Schizosaccharomyces pombe: one gene and its partners. Changing the gene in region 2 together with the main gene of any one other region gives a genetic interaction. Each region holds a gene or a part of one and is shown on either strand. Other genes may lie near its edges. The genes, in order: stg1, SPOM_SPBC1348.10C, atg9 and dph6.

The links.
Region 1: mutations in SPOM_SPBC1348.10C (region 2) and stg1 together harm fitness more than expected from each alone (negative genetic interaction), as found in Schizosaccharomyces pombe (one large-scale study listed by BioGRID).
Region 3: mutations in SPOM_SPBC1348.10C (region 2) and atg9 together harm fitness more than expected from each alone (negative genetic interaction), as found in Schizosaccharomyces pombe (one large-scale study listed by BioGRID).
Region 4: mutations in SPOM_SPBC1348.10C (region 2) and dph6 together harm fitness more than expected from each alone (negative genetic interaction), as found in Schizosaccharomyces pombe (one large-scale study listed by BioGRID).

What each region holds. Positions count from the first base shown.
Region 1 is NC_003424.3:2,659,648-2,663,048, reverse strand, and holds stg1 (SM22/transgelin-like actin-modulating protein Stg1), read right to left. Parts: upstream 1,353-3,401; 5' UTR 1,249-1,352; coding exon 724-1,248; 3' UTR 514-723; downstream 1-513. Other genes in the region: SEACAT complex subunit Sea2, read left to right, coding at 2,465-3,401. UniProt on the Schizosaccharomyces pombe protein: Has actin-binding and actin-bundling activity and is a component of the actin patch. Stabilizes actin filaments against disassembly. Cross-links F-actin and is required for the formation of the contractile F-actin ring.
Region 2 is NC_003423.3:25,608-29,971, forward strand, and holds SPOM_SPBC1348.10C (phospholipase), read right to left. Parts: upstream 2,766-4,364; coding exon 813-2,765; intron 749-812; coding exon 680-748; 3' UTR 548-679; downstream 1-547. Other genes in the region: SPOM_SPBC1348.09 (dehydrogenase), read left to right, coding at 1-19. UniProt on the Schizosaccharomyces pombe protein: Catalyzes the release of fatty acids from lysophospholipids.
Region 3 is NC_003423.3:3,022,832-3,027,785, forward strand, and holds atg9 (autophagy-associated protein Atg9), read right to left. Parts: upstream 2,828-4,954; 5' UTR 2,791-2,827; coding exon 682-2,790; 3' UTR 512-681; downstream 1-511. Other genes in the region: NatC N-acetyltransferase complex catalytic subunit Naa30, read left to right, coding at 1-142; SPOM_SPBC15D4.08C (uncharacterized protein), read right to left, coding at 2,828-3,244; met3 (cystathionine gamma-synthase), read right to left, coding at 3,610-4,954. UniProt on the Schizosaccharomyces pombe protein: Phospholipid scramblase involved in autophagy and cytoplasm to vacuole transport (Cvt) vesicle formation.
Region 4 is NC_003423.3:771,381-775,999, reverse strand, and holds dph6 (endoribonuclease), read right to left. Parts: upstream 2,634-4,619; 5' UTR 2,521-2,633; coding exon 1,515-2,520; intron 1,474-1,514; exon of another isoform or gene 1,420-1,473; coding exon 605-1,419; 3' UTR 511-604; downstream 1-510. Other genes in the region: syj2 (inositol-1,4,5-trisphosphate 5-phosphatase 2), read right to left, coding at 1-227; SPOM_SPBC577.11 (uncharacterized protein), read right to left, coding at 3,653-4,014, 4,145-4,244, 4,425-4,619. UniProt on the Schizosaccharomyces pombe protein: Amidase that catalyzes the last step of diphthamide biosynthesis using ammonium and ATP. Diphthamide biosynthesis consists in the conversion of an L-histidine residue in the translation elongation factor eEF-2 (eft201 or eft202) to diphthamide.

The DNA of each region.
Region 1 (3,401 bases), on a different chromosome or scaffold from region 2:
ATAACACTAATGTCTAAACAAATGCAATACATGCAATTTTATTATCTACTTTGTTTCTTGCAAAACTGGTCTACCAGCATTTTCTTTTGTATACAAGCTTTAAAATTTTTATTTAATTTCTGACTTGAGTAAATTTTAAGCAAACAATTTTAACAACATCTCTAGTATTTCTGCAATTTTCAATGTACATACATTTTTTTTTTATAATATCTCACAAAACTATTTGTAAATACGTTTACCGACCTGCTTATCATTTAAGAAATTGAATACAAAAATAACAAAATAAATAAATAAAGTGTGCATTTTTATTAATCACTGATACTTCCATAACTAATTTTTGCAACATTTTTTTTTTTCTCTGCAGCTTTGTAAGGAAACGCTCATGAAACAATGAATTGTCGTATTGCTTTTTTAAGTCATTTGATACGACGAGAAATCTAGCAATACAGCACCAAACATAAGATTTTAAATGTGTTTTCAAACTACGAATCAAACTATAATTCAATTTATGTTTTAGTGTCGTAAAAAAAACATATCATTATGAATATTTAAAGCAAAACTTAAGCTTCTATATTTATACACATCTTTTACAAGACCTCACGTTTCACTCCTATTATGGATTCGGCAGATTTTACGAATGAATGAAAATAAATAAGTTATCAAAAAGTACAAGAAGCGAAGATATAAAGTTATACAATCTTCAATCTCTTTCCCTACACAAGACTAATACATATTTCCGGTCGGGTCCCTGCGTCTAGAAAATGCAATCTTCTCGGTTCCCTGTGTCGGCATATCAAAGCTTCCATACTGAAGACTATTTACGCCTTCTCGAAACTCACGCTGCTGCTGTGCTGAGAAAACACGAGGCTTCTTCTCTGCCAATTTAGGACCCAAACCACGAACTTTGCCGGGAAACATTTTCGCGGCATAGCGCGAAAAGGAGTGAATACTTCTTAAAACCTGTTCATCATTTCTCCGCTCAAATAAATCAGAAGTTTGAAACATATCTTGTGAAGGAACATGTACAACTTGCTGTGCATAGTTAATGAAGGCAGATATGTTTTCCATTTGGACAAAAGGCATGTTAGATTCTTTGTATCGAATGTTAGCGCCTAAAGCTTCTTTGCAAATTCTGCAAAGAATCACCCCGGATTGTAATTGATCCAGTAAGTCTAACTGAGCATTCAATTTCGTATGCAAAGTTTCTTCGATCCATTCTCTTGCTTCTTTTTCAAGTTGAGACGTCATTTCTCACGAAAATTTAAATAAAAATAAAGAAAAGTTCCAAGAAATTATATCACGGAACGCCCAATGACAGTTTGGTTTTTCAGAGGTGGTTAGTGAAAAGCGGCTTCGTATAAGCCTGACGAGTGCCATCTTAATTCAATGTGTAGCAACTGGACTTAATAGATCATTTAGCGTAACTCCAGCTACGCAATTCGTATCTGAGTTTAAGGTACAGTAGACTGCGTAAACTCTTTATCAGCAAACTAACTCTTGTACGGTAAACTGATGATTTGTTCTTACTAATTAGTACTATATAAAGTAGAGTCGAATTACTTTGCTTCACAATTCGTTTATGGAATGAAGACTTGTTTATTTAATTTCGAAAGCATCATTATATTACAAAATACAAACCGACAAGGTACTGCAAACCGCTTTTTCGATTGACACTGTGCAACTGACATTGGACTGACCGGCTTTGCTTACTTATATCGTCATATATAACATGTTATCTTCATATTTAATATTGTAGCTACTATAACTCTACGAAAGAAGCATTGAAAGATAAGCTCAACAGTACCATTCTTTAAATGTTGTAAATCAGCGTAAACGAAATTTTAAATCATAAGTCATGTATACGCGACAAATGCCATAGTAAAATGTGAAACCTATATAATGAACTCTACAGGAATGCAGTATAGCGTTACAGGATGCAATATTGCTGATTCATAGCGAGATTCAGAAGTAAATTCACAAAACCAAACTTACTAGAAGCAATAAGCAACTGAACTTCGTAAAAATAAATTATATTTGAACTTTTATTCTTTTGAAAACTTCCGATGTGTAATTGTTCTGATTGAATTTCCTCAATAATTGAAAATTCGAAAGCTCTTATTTGTTCACTAACATTGGACTTGATATTTACATTAGCAGAAACTTTTCTTACTGTTAGTTGCTCCTCTACTTTTCTACTTTATCTTTTTGGTTAATGTATCAAAACAAATAGTTTGATAAAGAATAGTCTACTTTTTTCTGACTTTTACTATTGAACGATCTTGCAACGTTAATTTTACCAATGTACGGTGAGTGTCACCATACTTGCATTTCACTTCAGCAATTTCTTTGACTTCCTGTCCGATATTTAAGAACTTGTTTCCTTTTCTGTATGCAAATTTCCTAAATCATTTTAGAAGGCATCAGCTGCTACTCTACCAGCTTCATTTTGTTTTCAAATTCGTAAATGCCTTCACGAAACTCAAACGTCCTTCAGCGACCTACTTATGCCCAACTTGCTAGCACATCTGTAAAGTCATCCAAAGGACTTGTTAGTTACCAAGACTGGGTTGTTGATGTAAAGGCCTCCATCAGTGCTATTTCGGTAAATAAAAGCCGTACAAAAGTGGGTGTAGCAGGCCGAGAGCTTCTAAAAGTTCTAGCTGTTAATCCAAACTCTTCAAAGCCTCCTGTTTGCATCTCTGACCTTCTACAAAAATCAACACAAACAAAGCACATCTCTTGCAATGATGTAAAGTGGGGTAGTAGTTTTGCTTCAAATTTAATTTTTACATGTTCACCGCTTGGTAATCTCAATGTATGGGATGTTAATTTAGAAGCCCTTCTCTATGACTTTAATGAGCATTCTCGAGCCGTACATAAATTGGATATCTCTTCATTTCACCCGTCTTACGTTTTAACAGCCTCTCAGGATGGGTTAATTAAGCTTTGGGATTACAAGGAAAGCTCATCAACAATCACTTTTCGTGGAAATTCTGAAGCTGCTCGAGACGTCGTATTCTCCCCTTCTGAGCCAAATGAGTTCGTTGCCGCTTATGACAGTGGGATCTTGCAAAAATGGGATATCCGGTTTCCAAAACTTCCTTTTTTAAAATTAGCTGCACATAATGGTGTTGTTTTGTGTGTTAATTATAGTCCTAATGGTGTTTTTTTAGCGTCATGCGGGAGAGATAAGACTATTCGTATTTGGGATTCCACAAGCAACAAAAAAAAGTCCCTTATAACTATCAATAATGTCAGTCCCCTCAATTGTGTTCGTTGGCGACCGGCTAATCAGCAATCGAGAGGTTCTAATCAACTTGCAAGCTCTTCTCTTGTAGGTGATACCGCAATAAATGTTTGGGATATTACTAGGCCTTATATCCCATACAGAACCGTCAGTT
Region 2 (4,364 bases):
AAAACAAATGGGTCTTTAAACGATTTCGTTCTACCAATTGAATATTCCTCTTTTACTGTTTTTTGTACCAAACTGTTGATAAATCTTTCAGCATTTATTTAGTTTCCTTCCTTTAGGAAGTTTCAAAATACAGTAAAATATTTAGTAGTGACTCCTCATATATTGAATTAACAAGTCTCTGTCTTACTTTTAAATGTTTGTAGTCAATTTTATTATTATCTATTTTTTAAAAAACCGGGAGCTTTTAAAACAATCTATCATTTAATGTTCATCATTAGCACAACGATCTTGGACTATTTTTCATTCAACTTGTGATTCCCAATTGTACGTATATATCAATTTAAAGCAATGTTGTATTTAATCGTTTTCATGCTTACATTCTTTCGTTTCGTGTCTTTACGTGAATGCACATCGATCTCAGATTGAGCCAACTAAGCCTGTTCATCCATTCGACCGGTTGCATTTATCTAAAAAAGTTTAGAGATAACAAATTATTCATTTACCCGTTTACATAGCTCCATCAAACGTAAAGGGTTTAACTGAGCAGTCTCACGAATGAGGAAAATCCTTAGTTCTCTTTCATAACGAATTCGTAACCAAGTACAATAAAGGTAAATCTATCTATTCTAAATTTCTCACATGCCTGAGAATCCATTGAAACAACATCAATGGAATCTTTTTACGGATTTTCTTTCGCTTCGAAAATCGAGTCCCACCAATGTTTATGAGTGGGAGTGGCTGATGCTACCTAGAACAAAAGTTAGCGATGAAAAAAAAAATAGTTTAATCAACGTGAATTTTTGAGAACATACAGATGAAGATGTTGTACTAGAGGCTGTACCCGAGGTTGTGCCTGACGGTGCACGAGATGTTGTCGCAGCAGACATTACGGTAGGATCATATACAGAAGCCGTACTAGTTGCAAGAGTTCCGTCCCAACAGTATTCTTGGAAACAAGAAGAGCACTGGGTAGGAGTACTCAATTTCTTGCGTTCCAAAGAGCGTTGAATTATAGCGCATGCTAAGCAAACTGCAAAAGATTCATTATTGTTTTGCGTAGTCGACATAAATGCATTCTCAAGAATTCCATTAGCCATCTTGTCGTCCATGCTCATAGTAAATGTCGATATATTGGAATAATAAGTCCAAGGGTAATTTGGAAAGTATACAAGGAGAGGTGGGGTATTATTGTCTACATCATGATTTCCTGCTGTAGTATTTTTACCGTCACATCCAAAAAACGTAGGACGAGTGTTTAGTCCCAAAGAGATAATAGTGTTTTCGTCCGGAATATATGGAAATCCACGCACATCAACACTCTTGTTCGCATTAAAGGTTACAACTCTCTCATATGTAGCAACAATGGAAGATCCAAGGGGCCAACCATAAGGATCATTATAAGTCGAATCAATCGCAAATACAACGTCCACAAATCGTTGTGGGTGTAACAAAGGCCAAAGGGGAATGTTTTCCCTATCCTCACCACCATCAACTAGATCAATAGTATCATACGGTTCGAACGCATTCACTACAGAGGTATTGGAAGTAGTATAATTTTGGTAAGGATTGGGATAAGGAGCAATATCATCTTGATGCTTAGAAAGATCTTCAAGAATCGCATGAAGAATATCGTAATAGGTATCATTCTTTTTGACATTTTCATTCCAGTCAAGAAGAAAAGAGTTGAATAAAGTAGCTGAAGTGCCCATAACAAAACCTGCATTATCATAGTTATGAATGCAAGACTTATCGGGTGGAACCCCATCCAACAAGTGAGTTCCCACATATTCCATTGGAATGAATGCTTTAATTCCATTGTCCCATGTACCAAATTCATACGCCGTGAACTCAAAGATACTGGTATTGGCAGGGATGGCCGTTTCTTCTTCTAATCGGCTATCCGCAACGATGATGGGATAAGGATAATCAGCATTTTGAAACCAGCTTTGATTTCTCATACTGGAATATGTAATGCCTGGTCCTCCCCTTTCAGCATCAACAAGTTTACGGGACAAAGCACGTCCCCATAAATCCGTCAAAGAACAGTCAAAGCCCGCATGTTTCTTTTGATCAATTTCTTTGCGCAAGTCATTATAATAATTCAAATTTTCAATGACATTATCCCCATGAGGAGCAAAAACGCTATGTTCCAAATTCCAGACATTATCACGTAAGTATGTTATATTCGTAAAATTATTAATAGCCACTGATCCAACAAGCCATGAACCACCAGAAAGACCGCTGATATACATCGCGGATTGCAGCAGACCAGAAAGTGGAGAGTCACTCTCGAATCTTGAGTCAAAAGCATTGAATGCACCACCTCCATTAACCATCGCCCGTAACCCACCACCTGAGAATGCAATTCCTAAACGTGGACCATCCGAGCTGTTAACCACCTTATCCAAGTCAACATTCAAACCTGTCTTAGAAATAAATGATCGGAGTTCACTGTTAACCTTAGAAATACGTTTGTTGATATAGCTCTGTTCGCCCTCATTTAAACCTTCAGAAGCCGGCCTCAACAGATTGTCGTTTGAACAGGTCACATTGAAAGGGGCATACGAAGCGTCGGTACTTCGTTTTACGAGCGCAGGTTTCCTTTTAGACAAAGTGTAAAGTACGGATGTATCAATATCTTGTCCTTTATACGAACTAGATTCTTCAAAATCATATATTTCAGAAATCTCCACACGACCGGGAGGATAAGCTAACGTCAACGAAATTTGAACGAAAGCAAAGAGTCCAATATAGTTGACATACATTGCAGAAAATAAAAAAAGTTCAAACAAAAGCTGTAAAAATTGAAGTTCGCATGGAAAAGTGTACTACACGGAAGAATATTAAATCATATATTACTCTGGCGCACTACACATCTCTGATCCGGAAGAAAGAATTCCGAACTTTAAAAGCCCCAAAATTTGTCGCGTTATCTCAAGATCTGTCTACAAAAGTGATCTTAAATACGAAACAATGCTTGCTGCAAAATTCGCAAACGTTAGGCGGATACAATTTAGTACGGCAAGCTTTTACTTTATGATCAATGTTACCTTAAATTTCTATTGAGTAACAAATGTTACAAGATATGTATGCGAACAATAATACCAGAAGCTGATCGCTCATCATCGAATGGAGTTAATTACTTCGCTTATACAAAATAGTTTGTTAGTATTACGATGCATAATCTGAAATGGGAGCGTGTAAGGGAATGATCTGATGATCACGTATTGATTATAAATATAAGTAGGAGGATGATAGTAGGGACATTCGATGTATGGTGAGAGGCAACGTAATCTAGTGTACTAGCGCGGATACACGAAAAAGAAAACGCCAATAAAATGCATAGCGAATTCATGATTCCACGTTTAACACATTGCATGCATTTCAACTAGCTTAAGTTATTTTGATCTTCATATACTAGGGAGAAATAAGTTTTGTATTTTCGAGTAGTCTTTGTTCATAAATCCTCGCTATTATCACAATTATTCGACTTTCATACATGTAAATATCTTTTCGCTTGACCTCGAGAAAACAAATTTGTTTGTTATTTTTTGCAACATTTGACATTATTTTATGATATGTCAATAGTAGTTTTAATTGCTCGAACGTACATTTGTACTTTTTGTCACACCTGCTTAAGTTGTACATCGCGGTAATTTCTTATTATTAAAGGCCATTAACCTGATTGTCTCTTTAGATCTCTCTTGAATTGTTTGTTTTACTGTATCTTTCCGAAACAGTACATAAGGTTGTAACTTTTCCACACTAATTTCCTAATCATCGTTATGCACAAAACATTTAGCTGAACAAAGTTTGATAGTTTTTGTATGGCAGCTTGTGATGCCTTTTTATTTGTTCTACTTTTTCTTCAAGTTGGAGATAAAAGAGCACTTTTTAGTGATCAATTATGCTTTAGGCTTATAGGTCGTATTTCATTTCCACGATCAATAATTACTTGCTCATTTACCCACATCAAATCTACATCGTGTGCATTGTATTTATATTCTCTACTCATGACTACCAACTATAAGCATTGAACAAGAATATGCTGTTTCTAATATTTGTCATTGTAGCCAACGTCGTTTTGGACTTGTTTCAAAATGATAGTGCTAATAATTGCATTTATATTTAATCATTTTTGGATTCATTTTTTTCTCATTTGCTTGATTAAAAAATTAACATTATTGTTGAATATTCTTTTACTGCTAATCGCCGTTTAGTATCGCTTTTATACTGCCGTTCTGCTTCTCGACATTATGCGACATAAACTTAACTTTTACAGAAATATTAATCTCACGAATTATCTACTCATACTATATTCCTATATTGGTATAAATCTTTTTTTTATCTAATTTTTGAATTTG
Region 3 (4,954 bases), 3.0 Mb from region 2:
GGAAATTGTTTTGGAAACAGAGGTGGATAATGAGGCAGCCATGTCTTTTTATGAAAGACTCGGGTTTTGTCGCTATAAACGTCTTTATCGTTATTATTTGAACGGCACTGATGCATTTCGATACATCTTGTACCCGAATTGAAAAACAATGCTACAAAATAAAATCGCGGCATTTTCTATGCTCTAAGAAAATTTGTTTCCACTTGTCGCAGTATAAGTGAAAGTTTTAAAGTTGTTCCAATCTATTTATTTTTTTTTATTTTTTTTCTTCTACTGATTAATACCATAAGTAATTGTCATTAGTCGTCACTGTAGCGTAACTCCGTAATTATAACTGTAATAAACAGTGTTTACATTGATTCAAAGAAATTGTACGGATGTTCATAAAAATAATATCATTCCATTAAATGTAAACTTCATTAATAGTAAAACATAAAGTCTACAGCTGAATAAATAAAGAAGCTTCAACGTAAACTGCTAACTCTCCAAACAAACAATCACCATTCATTAAAAGAAATTAGTAAAAATACAATCATTACATGCATTAGTGGCTCAAATTGCCTTGCTAGCAAATTGTTAACACTTCTTATAAACATTGTCCTTCATTTTGTATGACAGAAAAATAAACCATTAAGCCATTGAGACTTGCTTGGTTGTTTCAAGAACTGACTCTCAATTTCATTAACGAAGATCCCTTCTAGGTGCTTCCGTATTAAATTGTTCGTAAAAGCTGATGCGAGAAAGTTCTGGTTTATTTTGAATTAGAGGGCTTATTTTACGTGATTGTACCAAAGAAGCGACAGACTCATAAGGCGGGTTGTCCTGGAAAACAGCGTAACTACAGACGTACCCAACGCCTTCAACGTTTATAGTATGTTCTCTGAAGAAATCCACAATATCTTGACTGCAGGAAGGAAAAGTGAAAAACAACAATACGGGTGTCAGCAAAATTCCAAGAATCTCCCAAAGAAGATTAACTATGCGATATGAATATAGAGAACAGAACTCTTGTTGAACAGCTTTACTATGCATGTTATCAGACCACCATCCTGGCATGTAATGTGTAAAAGTGATTACGCGCCTTAAAGCTTTTTCCGGAGCAAAAACCAAAGTTTCATCAGGTATTATTGAGCGCGAAACTGCTATAAGAGATCCGAAAAGACCAAGATAAAAAAGTACAGATCGATCTTTAGTTATTTCAAAAGTTACCATTAATTCAGGATCAAAAACTGTGATTATTACTAAAATCGCAGTAAAACTTCCTAAAATAAATGATATGTATTTGAATAACCTAATCATGTTAAAGTCAGGGAACTGAGATACATAATGAGATGCGGCCGCATAGCTATCATTAATGCGTTCATCAAAAAAATGTTGTAACTCATTGTATTCACGAAAAGTCCATAAAGCTAATGGAGTGTATCTTCTTGTACTCAACGCGCCTGGATTTTTATGATATTCATTAAAATAGCGGAAGAAATTGTGAATTACTAAGTAAATTGCAACGATTGGCGCAAAAAGGCAATTGAGGAAACCAGCGACGATGAATCGACGACGTAATTCTTCAGAAAGCCTTTTCCGGGAGTTAGGATTTCGAAAAGCACTACGAAGCTGACCTTGCTCATCGAAAACGAAATTGAATATGCACCAATTTATGTTCCATTCCGTGGTATGTGTGAGTATTCTCCTGTGCAAGAGAGGAAGCTCAATATTAATTATTCCATTATTTATCAGTGCAATGAAGTAATTGTCTTTTCTCATTATACGATTTGCAATTGCATAAGCATCCAGGCGTTTCATGTTATGAAGAGACACTACCCTTCCATCCTCAGCAGTAAGAGCATTTACATTCTTTAATTTCAATAAACGATATAAAACCCTTTGCCAAGATACTGTTGGCATATCTGCGGTAGCAATTTTTAAGGCATGAATATAAAACTCACGCATTTGCCATAACCTTGGAATATCAGTAAGATAATATATCCAAAGTGCCAAAAGAAAACTTAAAAAAAGCCACAAAACAAGATACGTTATTGGCGACATTTGTGCAATGCATTGAGACTTTGTGACACCAGCCAGTGAACCATGGGGTGTCACAGCAGGCCAATCTATGCAACTAGTTATGAATGTGGTAAAACCAATAACAAATGAAACTGTCAAAATTTGAAATAGTCGGTGAACAATTATACAAGACAATCCTTTACCAGTGTAGTAAGTATAAACTTGCTGAAGAAAGCTATCCAAATTTTCTACGTTTGCCCATCTCCAAAGAACCCGATCCCGGGCACTTAAACGATTCCAAAGAACGCGAGCGTTGGAAAATTCGTTACGAGGAAGCTGAGTATAAATAGATCGATTAGGATGTCCAGAGCGAGTGACATCTTCATTATAAAAATGGGGATCGTTAAAATTGGGGAGTGCTGGTTTTTGCTTTGAACCATTTTGCAGGTTCCTCAGAGAAGTAGTTTCAGGAAAGGAAGGACTGGGGTGTTTCGAGGGTACTTTTGAAGAATTTCCATGAACAGATGGAGGCTCGTCTGAGTCCAGAAGCTTTCCAGAATACAGCAAATCCGTTGGATTATTCTTTCTTGGAACGCTTTTTACGAAATCGTCATGTTCAGATATTGTAAAGCCGTTGGATTCCTCAAGTGGCGAAGACTCGTCCTCATCACTGTCTAAAGACTCTTGCCATGCCTCTAAAACTTCTTGGGTATTAGGAACATTATTTTGAGCTTCTATATCAGCAAGATCGTCATATTGCTTTTTGTTTTGAGCCGGCTGATAAAACATGATCGCAATTCCACTCAAATTGGCATATGGGTTTTTCTCATGAATCTTTATTATTTTTGCTTAATTCAGAGACCTTTTTTTCTAGTTCTTGTATCCGAAGTAATGCTTTTTGATGACTATCTTTAAGTTTATCTAAGTTGGTCTGTAGCTGAGTTAACACGCTTGTGAGCAGGTGACATGAAGTTTGAATCAACTCGTTGCTTGAAACTGGATCTTCAAGCTCTGAGTCTGTAAGGCGAACAGTACTGTCATCTTCTTCTGGAATTGTTTCTTCGTCGTTAGTTAATCTTGGACGTTTCTGAGAGTGTTTGAGTTCGTCATGAACCTGATCAATCGGACTAGAGGGTGACGCCAAATATGAGTGTTCAAACATCAGCGAGGGGTACTCTGAAAGCATTTCTGGTTCATGCCTCCGATTTACAGATGGAGGAGTTGAAGGAGCCGATTCGGGCATTATGATTTTGGTTTGCACCAAAAGAATTTCTAGCGCGCGCACTTTATTACTGAGCGTTGAGAACAAAGTAGCATACCCCAAGCGAACGTATTGTACCTCGTTGCATCTGTTCCCGAAGTAAACATTTAGACAATGAACTTCCTAAAATATTTCTCACATTCGAAATAGCTAGAAAAACATATCTTTACTACATTTTCCTATCACATCAGGCATATATTTTCTATTTTGTTTAAATATATTTAAGGTAATACCAAAAAGAAAAAACAACAATTTCAAGAATAACTATGACAGTTTCATCTATAACTATAGTTATATGATTGGGTTTTTAAAAAATATCTATTATTTGAAAACAGTTTAGATACAAGTTATGAAAGAGCATTTATAAAAACATTTTTCAGGTGTTCGCTGGGTTCCATTCCAACGCTGACACGAACAAGGTTTCTATCTATGCCATTCTCACCAGCCCAATCCAACTCTTGGTAGTGAGCTAAAATTGCATAGGGAGAAGCCAACGTAAAATTTGTACCAAGTGAGGGACCTTTTGCTACTTGGATTTTGTCGTAAAATTGGCGCGCATCTTCAGGATTGTGGAAAACGACAGACAAAAGACCACCATAACCTCCATTTTCTCTCCGGCAAGCTTCAAAATGCTCTTTTGATGTATTGTATTTGGGATAGTATAGAGTTTTAATTTTAGGGTTTTGATAAAGCAAATTACAAATTGTTTCCGCGTTATGGTTTATCACTTGTGAACGTTCAGCAAAATCTCTGCTATTTCTTTCTAATGTCAAAGCATCCTCATCATATAATAAGTCTTCATAAAGAGCCTTCATAGCATCTTTTATTCGAGAGTAGTAACGACTTGACGGATTTAAAACCATACTACCTCCCATTACATTACTATCACCGCTAAAAATCTTTGTGAGGCTGCTGACAACTACATCTGCTAATGGTAAAACCTCAACGTTGACAAAATTTCCAATTGTTTCATCAACCACGACAGCAAAATCATAACTGTCTGCTAATTTCCGAATACGAACCAAATCGGGAGAGTTTAAAAGAGGATTTGATGGAAACTCACAAAACAATGCCATAACTTTCTCTCCACTTTCTAACCGTTTCTCAAACTCATCAAGTTGCTCGTCATTACCTAGTCCATAAAAGTAGCAGCCAGATCCCCATTTCTGTAAAATTTTTAAGGTATCAACATAACAAAAACCAAAACAAACACTTTTACGGCTATCATCAAGCACCAACCTTAATATGCGATGAGTATTGTAAATAGCACTCATGCCAGTAGGAAATAAAAAAACATCGTCGTGACTTAAACCTTTAACTTCACGTAAATACTGAGACCCTTCTTTGGGTAAAGCCTTTTGCAAATCAACTTCATCTTTTAAGGTACCAGCGATACGTCGTCGAAGAACAAGTTTAGCTGCTGTAGCCAAACTTAAATCTAAATTACGCCCATATCTCTCCTCCAAATATAGGGATACGTCTTCCATTTCATCATTAGCTTGGTTTCCTTCGTTAGTCATCCAAGTATTCAAAGCCTGTAGATCTGGATGGGAAGCATATCGGCTTCTGCTTTTACTTTTGAGATGAGAAATAGACCTCTGGGCAACCAAAAATTCGGAAATAGACTGAATTTTTTTGTAGGAATGCAGAAAAGCAGCTGCGCGTCTGCTTGAAATACCGTCCCCCGTATGT
Region 4 (4,619 bases), 750 kb from region 2:
TCTTTCATATCCTCACATACATAATTAAACAACCCAAGGGTTCCCAATATCTTCTCTCCTCCAAAAAGTAATTCATATTCCTTTATCTTTTCGAATTCTTCAAGTGAGATACAAGTGAATGTTATTATGCAATCAGAATCCTTAACAGACGGTTTTTGAATAATTGCCGCATATTTCTCTGTAATAAATGCAACAGATCTTTCTTTTCGTTTGAGATAGCACTGCATGGCAGGAAATAAATATATGCTTATTTCCTGCTTTGCGTGGATGGTAGACACTAAATACGTAGATATACTGACGCAGTAAGGAGATACACATAGCTAGCAAGTATTGTAGATTTCCAGTGAAAAAGTTAAATTTAAGCGTTGAAACAAAAGGAATGTCCTGAAAATATTTATTTAATCGTATTGGTTGAAAACCTGATAAACTTCAGCTTGTTATCATCAATTATATTATACAAATTGCCAAACTACCGAATATATATGCGTAAGAAATACGCTTTTTAGCGTTTTAATTTGGCCTGTATATATGAAAACAGTAAAAAAAGTTGTGTAAAAGCTAAGTTCGACCATTTCATTACAATCTAATTCCTATGTACATTAAGTTATACATTTTGATCTCTAGCTGTATAACGCACGTGTAATAACTGAGAATTTGGAAATGCATTGTTCAATACGATAGCATATGCGGAAGGATGTTCATGATGAATAAAGGAGGACTCCATTCGTAAACCATTTTGGTTCAATAAGGCGACATCCCATGCTGTATCAGAACCAAAAAGCGTTTGATTTGTAACGAGTGAACTTAGAAGTGGAACATCACAAGAGCTATCATTGTAAAGCAATTGCCATTCTACTGAGGCATTCCTTGGTAAGGCATCAACCAACGCAACCAAAACAGGACTTGACTCCCCAGTATTTTTTGTATATTCTGACCAAATTTTAACAACACAATCCGCATCACGAGAATCACAAACATATGCCAAGCATGCTATGAGTGAACCTACTCGCATTGCTTTTGCAACACGATTTGCGTGTTGAAGAGCCAGTACCATCTCAAATATTTTGTCATGAAGTTTTAACTCCATAACTGATGGTATTAAACCAATTTGTCCAGAAATGAAAACAACACCATTTGCACAGATCGACTGCGAATATGGACCAATGTTGGCTGGCGCCCAATAACTTTGCCCTTGAACATGAAGCGCTCTTTTCTCGGTTACATCTCCAACAATACAGGACATGACTATCCTATACTCACTAGCTAGAGGAGCTGCGACGCAAGACCGGGAAGGTGGGTTCGTGAAATCAAAATATTTATTGTAAACAGAGTTAAATTCTGCAAACTTAGACATGGAAGATAAAATGACGGTTACAAAGTAAACATTTTTGTTAGAATATCCATATGTACCAAGCAGTTCTAGGAAGTTAGTATTCTAGCGGTTTAAAGGAAATGTTCGGTGGCATAGCCGAATCAAGAATATGATTAACGAAGACAATCAATATGTAACTTACCATTTAAGTTGTTTATAGCAGATTCAGCTTCACCTTGAAACGTGTTATAAGATCCTTTGGTAGCAACCACATTACCCAATACTAAAAATGAGCCCTTTTTTTGCTGAAAGGCGCTTTCACGAAGAGGAATTGGGATAAGAGAAGTAGGCGTCTCCTCTTGATCGTCAATAAGTTCGTATTTTTTAGATATAGTATGATAAATATGTGAATATTCTTCCCCAAGTAATTCTTCATTTGGAACTAATTCACTTTTCAGCGAGATAGGTTGCCATTCAGGCTTATCTTTAACACAGGCCTTAACTTTCAAATAACAGACTTCCCCAGAAGAATGCTCAACAACCTCTTTATCAGTCAAAACAATTCGCTTCTTGAACAATGGGCAATCTAAAACCAATGTTTCGTATTCACCTCCTTCACCGCAAGGATGCAGTTCGAATTTTTTATTTAGGGTAAGAAGTTTATCTTGCATTTCAGCTAGAGATTTCCCCAAATCCTTCCTCGTAAGGCCAATTGCAGCTACTTTGATCAAGATGGCATTCAAACCAGAAACAACCATATCGTTGAGTAATTTTTCCTGATCTTTTTGCCAAAGAAAAGACAAGCTTTTCAAACCTAACCGTTTGCAAACATTTTCTACTCGAGTCCGTTGATATGTGGAAAGTATAGCGCCGGTAGAAACGGCTTCGAGATCTGGATGATTTGTCAATACACGCTTTATGAGTCTATATAAGTCTTCTGTTTCATCCTTTTCTGTAAATTGATAATCCAAGTTTTGATTGATACTTTGTCCACCGATTTTCTCTCGATATAACGGTAGATCGAAGCATTCAGCATACAATGGAATTACATCGTGTCCAACACTTTGGTACATGAAAGAGTCAATCTCATCTTTACCATCTTCAGGATGAAGATTTGCTAGGGCTACTACTTCATGGCCTAAAGAGACGCAATGCATCAAGTTGAAGCAGCTATCCTTTCCACCGCTGATTAGCCCTAAGACCTTCATTAATGGTTTTTCTTAACTCTAAAATACTTGTAAATTTCCCTATTTTTCAGTTCAAGCTTTCTTCGTGTTTGTATATGGCAACATTAATTGTTTACTTCAAAAACATATATAAATAACGACATTACTACAATACGGTATTTATCAATGATCAAGATATATTGACTAAATAAACTAAAAGAACTCGAAATCTAATAATACAAATTAAGACAAAAAATTTAAATGTTAAAACTTTATGCTTGAAACCAACACGTAAAGTATAGCTCCGATCTCCACAGTAACGTAGGATGAGGATAGAAAGGTTCATGATGAAAAGACGCTTGCGGCTGAACATAAACAAAGCAATCTTCCATTAATGAACAATGAAAGGAGAAAGAACTAAAAATTAGCAAAGATATACTTCAGGAATATAACACTATCGCTTTATTTCATCATTCACAGCACTAAAACCGCTCAGCAGTTTGTGCAAATTAAAGTGAAGGACGAAATAAAACAGATAAAAAAATTACTGCCAAGGAAAAAAAGAGGCAGAAAGAAGAGCAAAATTAAGGGTAACAACCAACAAAAACCGGCAACGATGCATAAAAAAAACCTAAATGCGTTTATGAAATTACCAGATTTCAAATAGCAATTGATAAAGCATGTACAAGCTAAAAAAAAAATAAACTACAATTTATGAAATATAAGACATCATAAACTGTCTATTTGAAGTATTAAATAATTGACAACTTGATCTTCTTTTAATAACAGGCAAGAATTCTACGGACAGAGTCCCGTAGTGTTAAGCTTTAATGAAACCAAACATTTAAAAGGGCTGAGAAACCTTTTAACCTTCTAGGAAAGATTCTGGTTCCATAAAACACATATTAAAGCAATAATCAAAATAAATAACAAGTTTAATCTCAAAAGCAGATAAGTTAAAGTACTGAAGGACTTACGAAAACAGAAGGTAAAAGGACACAGACATCAAGTGGCATTCTAATGCATGATTACTAATAATCCAAGGGCATAACTCGCTGAGTAAAAGATAGGCAGGTCACTGCGATGAACAAGGAATGGGAAACTCTAAAGTAAAAGATGAAGCTCTGCATGCGAAATGGTATTAAGAAACTTTTGAACAACAGCAAAACTTTTGCTATCCTTTACGAGGATACGTTCGATTTAACCATTCATTGTAAAGCTTCACCTGACGCACCAATGATTTTGTAAACGTTGTATCAGAAAACAATCCAGAAAACATACTTCCATAATCATTACGGACAGCGCAAATCCATAAAACACCCTCTTCCTTACCATCTCCGTCCAGTTTCTTAGAAACAAAGTCAACAGAGTCATAAAGAGCAACGACACCATTCCCTCCTCCACTGGAGGAACCTGGATATGTAACTGGAGTTTGAAGAACAATAAAAGAATCCGGGTCCAGCATCACAGAAACCACCAATTGTCTGTAAACTCGATTCCGAAAGAACCAAGGGGTTTTGTACTTGTACATCCAAACTGAAACAAATGTGAGTAATTAAATACAATAATAATGGTAAATATAAGCAAATAATGTATGCTTGAAATAAAAATTTTTTCATCCATGAAGGAAGATACATTACTCGCTTAAATGACATTTCAAACGTACTCTCAATTTCATCCTCGATAATAGTTTCCAATTGATGTGCTGAAAATACCAATGGATCATAATCAGCTTCCTTTTTGATATGTTCGTATAGCAATCCTTTCTAAGCTGTTGTTAGCATTTAGTGCGATGGATGAATAGGTTGAAAAATCGATTTCTCAAGTTATCAAAGGACTAATGTTATTCCTATTTTATGGTATTAGAGTCTCCAGTACGTTGTATATACAGAGGTAAATTTTGGAACCATTTTACAAACCACTATCCAACACTTGTAAGAACTTACCTTGAAAGTTTTCAGGGAACGTGTATGTTTAGACACCCTACCATACCATGTATGTCCAGTATAAGCAGGTGCCTTTTCGTATAGCGCAACTCCATCATGATTTCCAAGGTGTTTCCATTTAGGAATTTGTTCGACAATTTTCAAGGCGTCCTGAACGATCCTCTCTCTCCAACTCTCAAAATTAGGATCTGTCGC